3 linked regions of the Saccharomyces cerevisiae S288C genome follow. The protein of the gene in region 1 interacts with the protein of each later gene in a biochemical or structural test. Each region holds a gene or a part of one and is shown on either strand. Other genes may lie near its edges.

Region 1 (5,504 bases):
GATTTTGAAAATATTAGACTAGACTCTTACGAGTTGGGGCTTCCATTGGACGTTGACTTTACAAAAAAGAGATCAACTATTATTCCATTACATACCTTGTCAACAATGGATACCGAGGCACATCCGGTTGATCAATGTGTCTCCGTTTTACTAAATGTTATGGAATCTTTAGATGCAACTATCTCTACTGTGTGGAAGAGCTTACCTGCTTTCAATGAAATTATTTTACCGATTCAGCAGTTATTAAGTGCATACACCTCAAAGTATTCTGATTTTGAAAAGCCAAGAAATATTTTGAACAAAGTTGAAAAATTAACGAAATTCACAGAACATATTCCGTTGGCTTTACAGAACCACAAACCCGTATCCATACCTACGCATGCTCCTAAATACGAAGAAAACTTCAATCCTGATAAAAAATCGTACGATCCTGATAGAACAAGAAGTGAGATAAATAAGATGAAGGCCCAACTAAAGAAGGAACGTAAATTCACTATGAAAGAAATCCGTAAAGACGCCAAATTTGAAGCTAGACAAAGAATTGAAGAAAAGAACAAGGAGAGCAGCGACTACCATGCAAAGATGGCTCATATTGTTAACACTATTAATACCGAAGAAGGTGCGGAAAAAAACAAGTATGAAAGAGAAAGAAAACTACGTGGCGGAAAGAAATAACCAATAATAATAATTTATTAACCTCTTTTTTTCTTATTAGGCTTCTCAGAGACAACTGTATTATTTATGAAAAAGAAAAGAACTACTCATTTCTAAAACAGGGAAGGGATTCTCTTATTATTGTAGTACAAAATTAGTGGGAACTGAATAATATATGCATTTAGGTAAATACGAAAAAGAAAGGAAACAGTTATATATATAGTTATATTGGATGATGTACACGACACAGTCTGCCTTATCTTCCGACGTCAGACTTCTTGTAATACTCTTTAACAAGTCCTAAGACACCACCCTTATTGAGTATGCCATTACCATTGTAATTTGAGTTTAGCATTTTATTATGGTCTATTACATCATGATTAGGGAATGCGCCCGAATCAAGGAAAGACTCTGTTAGTACGTATTCATGATCATTATTGCCATTATTGTCATCATTTTTAGCTGTAGCATTATTGGTCCCGTTCTTAATGTCATCACCATTATTATTGTTATCCCAGTTCTTGCCGGGATTCCTTGTAGAATATATAGCAGGGGAAATATTATGGCCAGGGCCGAGAGCATGCTTACCTATTCTAAATAGCTCCGGCTTTTGACCTGGCTGAAATTGCTTTCTCCAAGAATACTTATTGTTGAGAAATGAATCGCCTTCATTATTCGGATAGCCTTTTTTTGCAGGCAATTGGTACTTCCCTGTTAAGTTTTCACTGTTGGAATAATCATCCATAAAATATACATATGATTGTAACATTTTATTATTTGCCAAATCTTTATCGCTATGGTCTTCGGCGGTAAATTTACTCCTTCGTTTACTGTTGAGTGTATGACTTCCGTTCACGGCAATCTTTTTCGTTAAACTGTCTTCATCCATGCTGTGTGTATCTTCACCGTCTATGTTTTTCATGTTAAACATAGCATACTTGCAAACGTAACCTAATCCGTCCACATATTCAGAATTCTCTCTGAAGAAATCTACAATCCTGCCGGCTGACGAGGGCAACGAAAACCAAAGTACAAACGGTGTTATCATCAGGCTAGTGAGTTCCCTCAAAAGTATTACTATTCTCAAGTTGTACAATTTACAGAACTCTAGTTTGATTTCCTCTTTGTGATATCTTCCTTCCCATTCCTTTGGTAGATAGTGTGTATATTCATACAACTCCTTGAGCGTCTCTTCGGGGTCGAAAACATGGTACTCCTGGGTTATTGTATTTCTACTTACAGACCATATAGCACCCAGAATAGTAATGTAGAAAATGACAGATCTGTCCGAGGTGATTTCAAAGTTTAAAAAGTTTTCTGGATCGAATACAGTGAGAAAAGCTAAAATGGCCACAAATGATCCACAAATAAAGGAAACAAATTTCAGAAACAAATTGGTCTTTTCCTTCGGGAACTGATCAACATACTTGTTAGCTAAGGTTGTGCTCAAACTTATTCTTTTCTTAAAAATATGGTAAAGTTCATTGTACTCACGGAATTTCCATTCAGCAATTGGTGTGTATTGACGAGCACCAATAGATCCAGGAGAAGTTTTATACTCATTAAAATATCTGAAAAAATAAAGCAAAACAAAGTATGTGACCAGAAATGGTGCCAATATAATATTAAGAAATCCTGCCAGCATGAATCTTTTTTGTAATTCTTCTCTCGTGAATTCTCTTTGAGAAGGTTTTAAAATACTTTGTTTAATAAATCCGGACTCGTTGAACACAAAGCCCATGACGCATAAATTAATATTCCATTCTAGTGTTTTTGTCAGAACGTTGGTCCTAAATAATGGAATAGGCAAGGATAAATTCAGGATGTCGCTATTGTAAAGTGCTATGAGATAGTTTTCTCTTCTCATGATTCTATTGGCAACGTCATGCGCGTCGATTCTATTCTTGGCTTTGACTTCCACAACATTTGCCGTCATAGCGTTTTGATCCTTCAAGTACATTAGCTGCTGTATCACATTTTGCCAGGGCAAAGTTTGAAGTTCGTCATCCGATATATTTAAAAGATACTTGTAAAAGTTTTGTAATTCTGATAATTTTTGAACATCAAAGTAGAGTTGAACAATTTTGAGAATCACGAAGAAATAAAACATCCAAAGGAAAAACTTTGTGAACCCCGTTATACTATTAGAATAACACTTGTCGATAATAATATCCGAAACCCGGTGACTAGTCGGTAATTTGGAGTAGTCAACACAGTGACCCATATATGTAGAAACAAAAACAACAAAAAGCAAAGTGCATATATTCAATATTTTTTCCAGTATGATGCAATAGAACCCATTTCCCAGATAATAATTGTAAACATCTTGAAGAAATATATCGAGGTTTTCTACGTTTGCCCATTTCCACAGAGCCCGCTCTTTCACGCTCAACGTATTGATTCTATCTTCCGGGGTATTGTTTAAAACGGATATATTGCTCAGTAAATTTGGCTTTCTTAATGGAAACAATTTAGTGAACCTGTTTGTATTATTTAAGGGCGAACCGGTAAACCGAGGTTGTGTAGCACTACCAAAGTATTTAGTGCCATGCTTTTGATTACCATTAATGTTACGGGGACCATTATTTGCACTCTTGTCCTTATCATGGTGAATGGCGTTCGACGAAGTAAATAGCTTTTGGGTATCACGTTGAGGGCGGTTATTCTGTAAGATATGCCTGAAAAACAAAGGTCGTTTACCGTCCTCTATAGTATTGCTTTTCTTAGAGCTAAATTCATGAATCTTGCTTTTTTGAAAAAGGGGCGTATCGTCATCAAATCCATCATTATTTATGAACTCATTATCCTCTTCTTCTTCTGACGAAAGCTGTCCGACTTTGGGCACAGAATCATCGGTAGAGCCTTCAACCAGTCTTTCTAAATTGCTTTTTTCCGTTTCAAGTACATTTTCTTTGCTCGTTACAGAATTTAGCTGGTGGTCTCCATCCAATCCATCACTAATCTGTGGAGCATACGCCTGGACTTGCTCTTCATCTACTTCATCCTCTTCTTCTGTACTAGTGCCTTGGTCAGACTCAGGAACACGTAAGTCATTCTCATCTACATCTTCGCGGCTGTCGTTAGTAGAATGCAATAAAGATGAGCCTCTCTCTATGTCTGGTAAAGGGAAGTTGCTCATCTCCTGGCTATTAAGAGAAGGATTAACTTCATCCGATTGTAAACCAAATATTCGCGATAAGAAAGTATTCTTCCCATGAGAGTTGGGTAACTGGTATTCATCTCTCTCCATAACCTAATAATTCCGTGATTTTGATATTTCAGGCTGTTCTTAAATGTCTTCTTATCAAAGTGAGATACTCATTACTTCACGGTGGTTATGGCGCTTCTTTTTGTTTAAAGTGTGGCTCCCCTAAAGTTCCGAAACTGGGTAACAATAACTAGAATAACATTACCAATGTTCAAAGAGGATGAGAAATTGTAGAAGACAAGACGTCAATAGTACCTTTTGAATGGGAATCTAAGCATCTTAATTAGTGTAATTTGTTCTAGAAGTATTTATGACTGTGTATATTCATTTATATACTCGACAGATGCGAGTGCGATTAGATTTGAGGTGTGACTACTATTTTACCGTCCACACGGCCTAGAAGTTCCGCTGAGGATGCATCATCAGCGATACTTAATGCTATAACATCTTGTAAAAATGTGGTTTCGGCACCTTTGCCAATATCCATCACCACATTTCCAATTTTCACGGAAAGTTTTCCAGATTTGTGAACCCGTATAGACCCAACCTTGCCGGCAAGTTCTCTAGTAGACAAAGCATCCTTCGTGTCCTTCTTTTTAATATTCTTCTTCTTCTTTGAAGGGTCGCTAGCCTGGGTTTCCATGTCTTCTTTTTCTTCTTTCACAGCGGGTCTTTCAAAAGCTGGTAACCTAGTAGGTAACTGGAATACCATGAATCTTTCTGGTTTATTATTCATTTTCTTTAGTTTTCGTAATATATGCTGATGATCTGCATTTAATAATTCCAACTCAGCGGCCGCTTCTTTCCCATCAACCGATTGAAACTCCTTTTCAAGTCCAAGATCTGCCAGTTTCTCATTGACTTGCCTTTCTCTTTCTTCCAAATAAGATTGTAATCCGGTTCCGACAGGCTCTGTCTTCACACTGGGGGTTGGTTCACGAGTTGGCTTTTCTGAAAGAGCTTCTTGTATTTCTCTTTTGACAGTTTCAACGTCTTCGTGTCTTACGCGGACAGGTCTCACAGGGAATAACTGTTCAATCCGTTTAGATCTCCATTCTTCGTCATCCATGTCGACGTCACTGCTCTTTTCACTTTCGCCGTCATCTTCGTCCTCTATGAGATTGCGTGCCTCGAATTCTTTTCCCATATTGAACTTCTTCTTAGATTTGGACGCTACACCTTCATTATCATCGTCTTCTGCCTCATTCTCAGAGCTCTCAGCACCATTGTCAATAGTTTCCAGGCCCTTTTGCACAAGAGATGACCCGCTTCCTTCTGATTTGATGAATCCTCTTCTCAAATCACCCTTCTCACTTACAAAGTTCCCAGCCGCCAATGGACCGCTAGAGATAACGTGTGTGTTATTTAAGTATTTGGCCATTCGCCTTTGCTGGCCGCCAGCGCCGGTTACTCTTTTATTCTTGTTATTGAAATGTTTCTTGTCATTACCTCTCTTAGATTCCTCCTCTAGCTTTACTTTGGACGCAGCTGCTTCTCTTTCTTCCTTGGACTTTCTTGCAACTGCTTTTGGTTTAAACTTTAATGAGGGCTTGGCAGATCCTCCTCCATTGGAGGAGGAATCTTTTAATGATGGCAAGCGCCCATTTCCTTTATTACTGCTCATACTTAATGAATGCTATCC
Region 2 (6,161 bases), on another chromosome or scaffold:
CCTGGTAGCAATACAGTCCGTCATAGGGCGAGCTGGTCACTATCTCTAGATCGATTAGATTTACAATATTTTTATGGCCCTTGAAGAAGTTCATGAATTTTAGCTCACGGATGGCCCTTTTCAAAAGGATCTCCTTATTAAAGATGTTGCTGATCTTCTTTACCGCTATCCTAGCAGCTGGGCTTCGACCCTTAAACTTCACTGAGCACACTGTCCCATAGGCTCCCTTGCCCAGGAATTGGATTATCTCGTAGTATCCTGGGATGGATATTCTCTCCTTGGCAAAAATCGTCCTCTGTTGAGGAGCACCGAGGTTGGAGGCCACATTTATGGCTCTGGTATTATCTGTAAGTGTGCAATTCATTCTTGGAGCGTTGAGCACGTCTACATTTCTATCGATATGATGTATCGCACGACGTTAAATACTGTTCAAGTGTCACAAATTAGTGGCGCCGAATTCTACCCTCACGCCTCGTCGCGCGCGATACTTTTCGAATCACCCGCCTTTTGCCGCCTATTTTTTTCGCCGTTCGTTTATTTAGCGGTGGGCAAACAAACAACACAGTATTTATTACTGGTACCGACTGTTAAAGAAGGACTGTTTTGGGACGTGTTTTTTTCCTGTTTTTGCTCAATTGACTACCCTATACATAGTAAAGCACAGTCGCAATGGTCACCCCAAGAGAACCTAAGAAGAGAACCACTAGAAAGAAGAAGGACCCAAATGCCCCTAAGAGGGCTTTGTCCGCCTACATGTTTTTCGCTAACGAAAACAGAGATATTGTTCGTTCTGAAAATCCAGATATCACATTTGGACAAGTCGGCAAGAAGTTGGGTGAGAAGTGGAAGGCTCTAACGCCAGAGGAAAAGCAGCCTTACGAGGCCAAGGCCCAGGCCGATAAGAAGAGATATGAATCCGAAAAGGAGTTATATAACGCCACTTTGGCTTAGGGATACTTCCTCCCCGCGTTTTTGTCTGTGTGATTTAATTTCTTTTCCTCTTGTTCTTTTTGAAACTTGCTTTATTATCTCTCTCCTTTCTATTCCTCTTTTCTCTACTGCCCTTTTTCTATATCTATACATATGATTAAATAAATAAATAAAAAAATTGTATTATTAATATATATTTTATCATCATCGAGTGTTTTTCCTTTTATGTGGCCAGCCGGCCATGCATTAGGAACGTAGACCGAGTGCAGCTCTTTTCAGTCAACGGCAATATCAGTTTAAAGGCGTCCCCTTCATTCAAGTAGTAGCGGAACATCCGTTTCATTCTGATGAAACCCATTCCTTCATATAAGTTTAGAGCCGCCGAATTTTCCACCTCTGTTTCTAACATGATCTCATCGCAATGTTCCCTTTGCATTTTATCTATGGCAATTTCCACTAGTTTCTTTGCTATGCCATGCCCGCGGTATGTGGACTCTACGGCTAGCATTCCTATATATCCTCTCAGTCTCACGTTTCTATGCGGGTCCATCTTACACACTATGCAACCAATGGGTATGTTAGGCGTTCCACTCTTGTTGTCAACGGCAATGTACGTTAACTCGGGCCATTGGTTCAAGAAATACCTATATACGTATATCGAGTACGGCTCTGATAGATCCGCATCTATTAGTTTTTTAATACTAGCAAACTGCTCTTCGTTACGTATGTCCAATGGCTTGTACACTATTTCCATGTCCTGACCCAACGCCTTTTCTGTAGTAGTGGCTTTTTTATCTTGTAATCTCTTGTGAAACTTTGTTCTTCATGATTATTATTTTTAATAAGGCTTGCCATGGAGAGCCTTTTTATCGCTTTTGGCTACCCGGTTTCTTGGTAGGAATGGAACTATATAATAGCGATGCCCTTATTTGAGTACCATTTTCTCAAATCAGAACCAAAGTAGTCCTCCTTTGAACAACGATTATTTTAGTGTACTGTTGTTGTTCGGAAAGTACTTCTTTTATTTTCTTTTATACATCATGGCAGACGCTGATGAATATAGCACTGCACCTACCCAGCAAGAAATAACACCACTGCAGACAACAGCCACTATCATAAATGCAATATCTGGAGAATGTATAACTACGAATGTTGATTTTTTCGTTTCCCTGGACAAATTTAAACAGTTCATTGCTAGGAAATGGAAGATTCCTCCCGATCAGCTGCTGATTCTACTACCTTATGGTAACAAACTAAAACCGTCGATGTTTAAAGAGCTGCTTATTAATAGGTCTTTTACTCTAAATGATTTTTACGTTTACGACAGACGACTATTCTCACTTGTTAGTAAACCGACACCAACAAATCTTTTAACGTCTAAGGATTCTAATCCCATGAACTCCCCTAATTCCAACGACTTGACAGAGACTCTGGAATATTTAATTAAGAATAGTCATATATCTCAATACCAAGGTAGCGATACTATTATGATCAAGCCTATGCCCTCGCCTTTGGAGGACGCAGACGTAGATCTTTCGCGTTTAAATTACCATTCCGTAACTAGCTTACTGACGACGAACCTTGGTTGGCTAAGCGCTTTAGAAATAGATGTACATTATTTTAAGAGCCTCATACCAGACATAATAGCCCATATTAAGCGTATTTTTGATGGCTTAACCGTTTGCTCACAATATTTGAAGCTGTACTGCTTTGATGTAGAAAGTTTGTATAACTCAAACGTTCAATTTTTAAATCAGCTGGTAGACAATGGTATGACTTCAAAATGGGAAAAATGCTTCAATGACACCTTGAGTAAGTTGACTGCTTTAGAGGGTGATTCTTTACAAAAGTTCATTAATATTGAATCTCTCCTGGAGAACGAAAAATCTGTAAAGATTCTAAATCATTCAATCAATGGTAAGCTGAATAAAATTAAGAGGGAAATTGACGAAAATGCAAGTTTTAGAGATATTATAACAGTAAACATCGATCGACTGCGGCAAATGTTTACCCCGAATGAATCTAAATTCGAGCTTGAAGACCAAATGGCAGAGAGCTTTGAGGTACTGGTATCAGAAATGCGAACAAGAAGCAGAAATGTACTTGATAAAGAAGAAGAAGAATTCAATAGTCAAGAATTTTTGAAAAGCATGAATGTGATGTTGGAAAAGGATAAAAAAGAATCAGTGAAAACTCTCTTCACTATATCACAAGCGCTGTATTCACAAATAGGAGAACTAATAGATTTAAAAAAAAGTCTACAAAAGCATGCAGTAGCCATTTTGGGTAACATAGCATTCACCCAGATGGAAATCCTAGGTATTAAAAGACTATTATTGAATGAATGTAATAAAGATTTAGAGCTATACAAGAAATATGAGGTAGAATTTGCACAGGTAGAAGATTTGCCTCTGATATATGGGCTTTATTTAATCGAAAAATATCGTAGGCTATCATGGTTCCAACAAATTTTGTCATTTATCTCAAATTTTAATCAAGATTTAGAGTTGTTCAAACAAAATGAATTACGAACAAGAAATAAATGGGTTAAAAATTTCGGTTCCATCGCGACTGTTTTTTGCGAAGATCTATTGTCTTCCTCTGATTTCAAACGTCTAAACGAATATCACTCTCATACTTCTCCACCAAATGAAGATGAGGAAGATGAAAATGAGAATTCTATAGCAAATTACCGCCAAGACCTGGTAAAAGTATCGCAAGCCATTGATAATTATATGACGCAAATTAAAGAAACAGATGTTTCTGAACCGATCATTGATCTACTTTCGAAAACACTTTTTGAGACGAAGAGATTTCATATAATATATTCCAATTTCAAAAATAATAACAATAATAGTTCTAATGGCAATAGCATTTCCCCTGAAGGGTCTATTGCCTTGAAAAGTGATGATGTAGTCAAAGGATACAAAACAAGAATAAAAAAATTAGAATCGCTATTACATGAGTTTCAATATTCCGACATAGGCCATTGGCCTCAAGGTGTTCTCAATACCCATCTTAAGCCATTTCGTGGTTCTGCTACGAGTATAAACAAGAAGAAATTCCTGGGAGCATCTGTATTACTAGAGCCTGCCAATATTTCTGAAGTGAACATTGATAGTGTTTCGCAAGCTAATAATCATCAAATTCAAGAGTTAGAGAGTAATGTGGATGATCTATTACACCAACTTCAACTATTGAAAGAAGAAAATAATCGAAAATCAATGCAAATTTCGGAAATGGGGAAAAAAATAAGTGATCTAGAGGTGGAGAAGACAGCTTATCGCGAAACTTTGACTAATTTGAATCAAGAATTGGCAAGGTTAACTAATGAAGAACAATCGCATAGAACTGAAATTTTTACCCTCAATGCCTCTTTCAAAAAGCAATTGAATGATATAATTAGCCAAGACAATGAAAAGATAGAAAAGCTAACAGGTGACTATGATGATGTTAGCAAATCGAGGGAACGATTGCAAATGGATCTGGATGAATCTAATAAGAAGCATGAACAAGAGGTCAATTTGTTGAAGGCTGATATTGAAAGGCTCGGTAAACAAATTGTGACTTCAGAGAAAAGTTACGCTGAGACTAACTCAAGCTCGATGGAAAAAGGTGAGAAATTCGAAACCATTCCTCTTGCTGAGGACCCAGGTAGGGAAAACCAGATATCTGCATACACACAGACTCTGCAAGATAGAATATTTGATATAATATCGACAAATATTTTCATTTTGGAGAACATTGGGTTGCTGTTAACCTTCGACAATAATAATAACATCCAAATTAGACGAGTCAAGGGATTGAAAAAGGGAACCGCCCAAAGTAATATACTGGATGAAAGCACACAAATGCTGGACGCACATGATAATTCTCTAATAAAAAGTCCGGTTTTCCAGAAATTGAAAGATGAGTATGAATTAATAAAGTCAGTTGCCAATGGATCTGAAAAGGATACACAGCAAAGCATTTTTCTGGGGAATATCACTCAATTATATGACAATAAGCTTTATGAAGTTGCCGTTATCAGGAGATTCAAGGATATTGAGACCTTGGCCAAAAAATTAACTAAAGAAAATAAGATCAAGAGAACGCTATTGGAGAGATTCCAAAGGGAAAAGGTGACTTTGAGGAACTTTCAAATTGGCGATTTAGCATTATTTTTGCCAACACGAGAAAACGTTAATTCTGTCGGGTCTATGTCGTCTTCCACCTCATCATTGAGCTCATCATTTTCATCTGTTGATTTATCAACTCCACCGCCTTTGGATGCTATGTCTATACAATCGTCTCCCTCGGTGATACATAGTAATGTAATCAATCAAGCCAGTATATCTGGCAGGGACAAGAATAAACTGATGAGGCCTTGGGCTGCATTTACAGCTTTTGAAGAAAGCACAAGATATTTTTTAAAGGACGAAAAAGGATTGACGAAGGGGAAAGAATGGTTTGTAGGCAGAATTGTCACTTTGGAACATTTCGTAGCAGATAGCCCCTCTAATAATCCATTTAGACTACCAAAGGGCTCAGTTTGGTTTCAGGTCACTGCGGTTGTGGTTTCATACCAGGGAGTTTGAACAGTGCTAAACGTTTGTCACAAATGACAAGATTTTAATTATGTATCTATTTAACATTATAATGCGATAAGTCTTGTTATCGACTACCAAGTTTCCTGGATATATCTATCAGATTTTTCCATTTCTTTCAGGTATTTTTTGGCAGTTTCTTCATCACTAAAATTGCCCCATTTTTTTAACATTTCAATGAATGTTAATCTGACTTGGATAGGCATTTTACCTGATGAGCCACATAAGAAAAAAACGGCGTCTTTATTAACTACCAAATTAGTTATTTCCTCACCTAATCTCCATAAGTAGTCTTGGACATATTTAACACCTGGTGAATTTTCCTCATCTCTGGAAAAGGATGAATGTAAGGCAATTTTGCCCTTACGGAACCAATCTTCCAGCATATCTTTATAAATATAATCTTTATCTTTATATCTACAACCGAAGAGGAGTTTGATATCTTTAGATATCTCCGCTTTAACCACTGATAATAATGGTGCTAGACCGACACCCGGTCCGACAAGAATCATAGGTTTATTCAAAAATTCCTTTTTGATTATGTGATTATTTTGTAACTTATACCTTATCTGTTCCCCCTCTTGCAATCGTGCAATGTAGTTAGTGCAAATTCCTCTTCGAATTTTCCTTAAGATAGTTTTATAT
Region 3 (4,065 bases), on another chromosome or scaffold:
AGAACTACTACCATCAAAGGATCTAAAACCATCACATGATCTTCTAGTGCGTCTTTTTGAGGAAAATTTCGCTGAGGAGATAGAAAGATATAGTCGTACTCTCAGTGAGGCCAATCGTAGCAGGAATAACATGATTACTGCTCGAATAATTTCGCACAAGAACCCCAATAAAAAGGCAAGCTTTTCTGGAAGGGATCATCACACCTCAGGGTCCAATCATAGCCAATTTGTATTAGAACATAGCGACTCATTTGGCCCAAACAGTTTACTTTTTGGAAAATATTTAACAAGAACGTTATCCCACTCGTCCACTACGAGCAGTTTGGATAAAAGTGGAATTGTTTCCGGCACTTCGAGCACCTTTTTGGCAGGGTCACAGCCAAACACCAACACAGATTCACAGCACAAGCATGATTACTCACATTCGGGATAATATGTCAGAAGTTGTTCACTATAAAATATACGCATATGTAATCATTTATTTATTCATTCATGACTTTTAGTTGAAAAGGGCACATTTTTCTTTGTCGTAAAAGTGAAGAAGACAGCGAATTTTTTCCTTTCTCCTTCAAGTATTGCTTTTTTGATAAAGTATTTTTCGAAATATTGATACAATTATTGAATCTTTGTACCGTATCCTTTTTTTCCTTTTTTCTAAGGATTCTTCACGTTGTAATTTAAAGTGTACAGGGAAGAAAAATCGTCAATTTTACCGGGCCAGATTGTCTCAGGAAGATAAGTTCCATTTTCCGCTATAAAATTCTGACGTTCTTCCTGGTCCTGAGCATCTAAATTCTGCAACTGCTTTTCACAATCTTTCAATATAGTTTTCATTCTGTTTGCCACATCCTTTCTCCTCTTTGCTTCTAGAACTAAGTTACCGTAGCTTTCTTCAAAATTATCATAAAATTCACAAAGTTCCTTAGTTGTTTGAATATCTTGTGTACAGGAATTTTTGAAGCTATCAATCAGATTGGAAATATCTTTAAAGATTAATAGATATTCCAAATTTCTATTGAAATCGTTTATTATTTCAGAAACTTCGCTGTGTAGTTCTGTCTTTTCCTTTATTTTTGCCTGCAAAAATTGACCCAAGTTAAGAATTGTTTTGTCCACGTCATCAATTACCTCATGCAGAGTTTTGAAAATGTTGTATAGTTCTTTGTCGTCGCCTTGTACCACCTTAAACAGCTCCTCACGTTCATCGTTATCAATTTTTTTATCTTGTAACAGCAATGTCTTATCAAAGTGCTGTGTCAATGAATTCATTATCTCTGCTAAATCTTTTTCAAGGTCCGTTAGTTCCCTGCTAAACTGCTCTGCAACATTTGTTTCCATCAGGTTATCTATACCAAATTTACTTTGGAATTTTTGAGTTACGTCCGTCAACTTGGTATCAATCAGTTCTTTGTTAACTTTTCTGACCATATTTTCGTATTGAAGCTTAATGTTTTCAATTTGACGCTCAATTACTGGCACTTCTTTCAGTTTGTCATTCAATAAGTTAACGTTGTCTCTCGAGATGTAATCTCCTAGTTTAGAGGGATCGGTATCATCTTTTTCTGATATGCTCAATTCATTTACTATACCATCCAACCTTTGTACTTTAGAAGTGATTTCATATTGCCAGTACTTCATCTCATCAACTAAGACCACTAAGACAGCTTGATTCCATTGTTTCTGGATTAGCTTTGTCCCAATGCCTTCCTTTAAAATAGTGTAAAGAAACTTTCCTTGCTGTCTCAAGCCAACTATTAGAAAATTGAGTTTTGAAATACTCAACTGCCAAGATGACAATTTTTTCTTAATATCTACAATCCTTAAATTAGCACTTGAACATAAAAGTTGAGCATCGGTCAGCGTTTTCCTGGCATTATTAACAAATTTTGTAACATCTGCTTCGTTCATAGGTGTTAAATACGTTGATAATATCCTCGCAGTATCGAATTTATCGTACGTTATGCGACTTTCAAATAATTATCAAGTTAGGGATATCTTGCAATTTTTAATACTGAGGCCTTAGAGCGCGCATCTAGTATTTACATTATGTCAAAACAATAACAAAAATCCAAAATTTCGAAATAGTACAACCGAGAGAGGTCGAAGAACTTAAGCCTTCAGTACGCCAAAACATGGAGGATTCGGACTCCAACACAGATAAAAAGTTCTTTTTCAAAAAAAGAAGAATCGATTCCTATAATTATAGCGATGAGGAAGATAATAATTCAAGCATGAATAGTGACATGACATACACTAATGATGCCTTGAAAACTAGTAGCGGCAATGCCCCAACGATCTCAAAATTAACGAAGACATATGGTATTGGTGCGAAGTTACTTTCGAGTATGGGATATGTTGCGGGAAAAGGCCTTGGGAAGGATGGTTCTGGTATAACTACACCAATAGAAACCCAAAGCCGACCTATGCACAATGCAGGTCTAGGAATGTTTTCAAATACCAACTCCAGTAACTATCACAGTGAAAATGAGGATTACTTGAGCTCTGAGGATGAGGTGGTTGAAGGTATAGAACAAGTCAAATTCAATAAAACCTCCACGGAGGTTTTAGGCGAAGCGTTGTTAAATGATAGTGGTGATATGACTATAGTGCGAACACTGAGAGAATTGAGGTTAGCAGGGGTACAATTACCAGAGAGTATCCTAAAAGAATTAGACCCTTTAAATGCAGTACCAAAGCCGAAAAAAGATGTTGTTGTGGAGATATTGCAAGAGCTGCTGGGTATTGAAAAAAGTTTGGAAGCTATTCGTCAGCGCACCTCTCCGTTAGAAGTGCAAGTCAAAGAATATTATGGACAAGAGAGGCTTCTTTCTGAATTGGAGGTTACTTTGAGGGACGAAAGCAAGCATGTTTCCCTGTATGATAAGATTGGTGCTATTTTAAAATTGTCCGACGACGAGCTCATAGATAGGCTAACGTCCTGCTTATTGAGAAAAGAATTACTAATAGAATTTGATTTGGATCATTTAGAAAAGCCAAACGATATACTTGATGAGTTAACGCAAATTATAGAACTACTCGCATATAGAATGGATACAACTTCGAAATTTTTGAACAGGACACAAACAACAATCTTTAAAGTTATATATCCCAAACTCAAAAAATTTTGGGAAGGGTTTGATATGACTAAATCAAAAATCGACAGCGCTATCACCCTATTACTGGATTTCCAACAAGTGCTAAGTTTTATCGGGTGTAAAGAGCATATCATGGAGGAATTCGTCTATCCAAAGCTATTACAGGAATTAGATAATTGGGAACTTCACGATGAAGTAGACCATGTTTCGCCAAGAATATGGGTCTTGGATTTTATGGTTTTAATTGACGATAAGATCAAAGACACAATTGTGGACAAGATTGAAGCAAAATTTTTTGCTTATTGTAAAAATTGGTACCATAGGGAATCATTTTGTATCACTAATTCTGATATTATATTTATCAAAGAACTTATCTGCGAACGAAGATATTACAAAATTTTATGTAAAGAGTTTCTTCCTAAATTCCTGGACGAGCTGTGGGAAAGACATAATGACCCCATCTACGAGTTAGAGGATTGGAAGGAAAAACAGGAATGGAAAGAAAAAGATTCTGGATTTTTCTATTTTATGAAAAAACTGAGAAGTTATACCCATTATTTTCATCCAAAACAGTATGAATTGATGATGCGGGGAACCTTTAATAATATAAACAAAATACTCTATCAATGGCATCTTTATAGTACAGTGGAAGACTTACACAAGTCAAAGTGGTGGCTTAATTGGCTGATGAATACGGTATTTGAGCACTCTTTACCAACAGAAATAGAACTATCGGAGATCAGAAAAAGCTATAATATATTCGCTATGTCTCATAGGTACCACCTTGATAAATCTACATTAGATGAAGATTTCGATTTGAGACAGGGTTTACGAAACTTAATGGAAACACAAGTGATCGACGATATTAGTCAAAGCGAACAAGAACCTACCTATACTGTACAAAATATTCCGCTTGGAAAAGTTAGCAGCTCTTTCAAGGATGTGGTAGAAGACTACTGCCTGGAAAAAG

The links.
Region 2: the proteins of ATG9 (region 1) and ATG11 form a complex in vitro, tested with the Saccharomyces cerevisiae proteins (3 studies listed by BioGRID).
Region 3: the proteins of ATG9 (region 1) and ATG17 form a complex in vitro, tested with the Saccharomyces cerevisiae proteins (3 studies listed by BioGRID).

Annotation. Positions count from the first base shown.
Region 1 is NC_001136.10:183,325-188,828, reverse strand, and holds ATG9 (autophagy protein ATG9), read right to left. Parts: upstream 3,905-5,504; coding exon 911-3,904; downstream 1-910. Other genes in the region: snoRNA-binding rRNA-processing protein NOP14, read left to right, coding at 1-675; RPC53 (DNA-directed RNA polymerase III subunit C53), read right to left, coding at 4,218-5,486. UniProt on the Saccharomyces cerevisiae protein: Phospholipid scramblase involved in autophagy and cytoplasm to vacuole transport (Cvt) vesicle formation.
Region 2 is NC_001148.4:660,483-666,643, reverse strand, and holds ATG11 (autophagy protein ATG11), read left to right. Parts: upstream 1-1,970; coding exon 1,971-5,507; downstream 5,508-6,161. Other genes in the region: mitogen-activated protein kinase SMK1, read right to left, coding at 1-364; YPR053C (uncharacterized protein), read left to right, coding at 401-856; NHP6A (high-mobility group nucleosome-binding protein), read left to right, coding at 670-951; peptide alpha-N-acetyltransferase MAK3, read right to left, coding at 1,154-1,684; TAH18 (NAPDH-dependent diflavin reductase), read right to left, coding at 5,591-6,161. UniProt on the Saccharomyces cerevisiae protein: Involved in cytoplasm to vacuole transport (Cvt), pexophagy, mitophagy and nucleophagy. Recruits mitochondria for their selective degradation via autophagy (mitophagy) during starvation, through its interaction with ATG32.
Region 3 is NC_001144.5:971,263-975,327, forward strand, and holds ATG17 (protein kinase regulatory subunit ATG17), read right to left. Parts: upstream 1,909-4,065; coding exon 655-1,908; downstream 1-654. Other genes in the region: guanine nucleotide exchange factor DCK1, read left to right, coding at 1-433; mRNA splicing protein SPP382, read left to right, coding at 2,133-4,065. UniProt on the Saccharomyces cerevisiae protein: Autophagy-specific protein that functions with ATG13, ATG29, and CIS1/ATG31 in response to autophagy-inducing signals as a scaffold to recruit other ATG proteins to organize pre-autophagosomal structure (PAS) formation.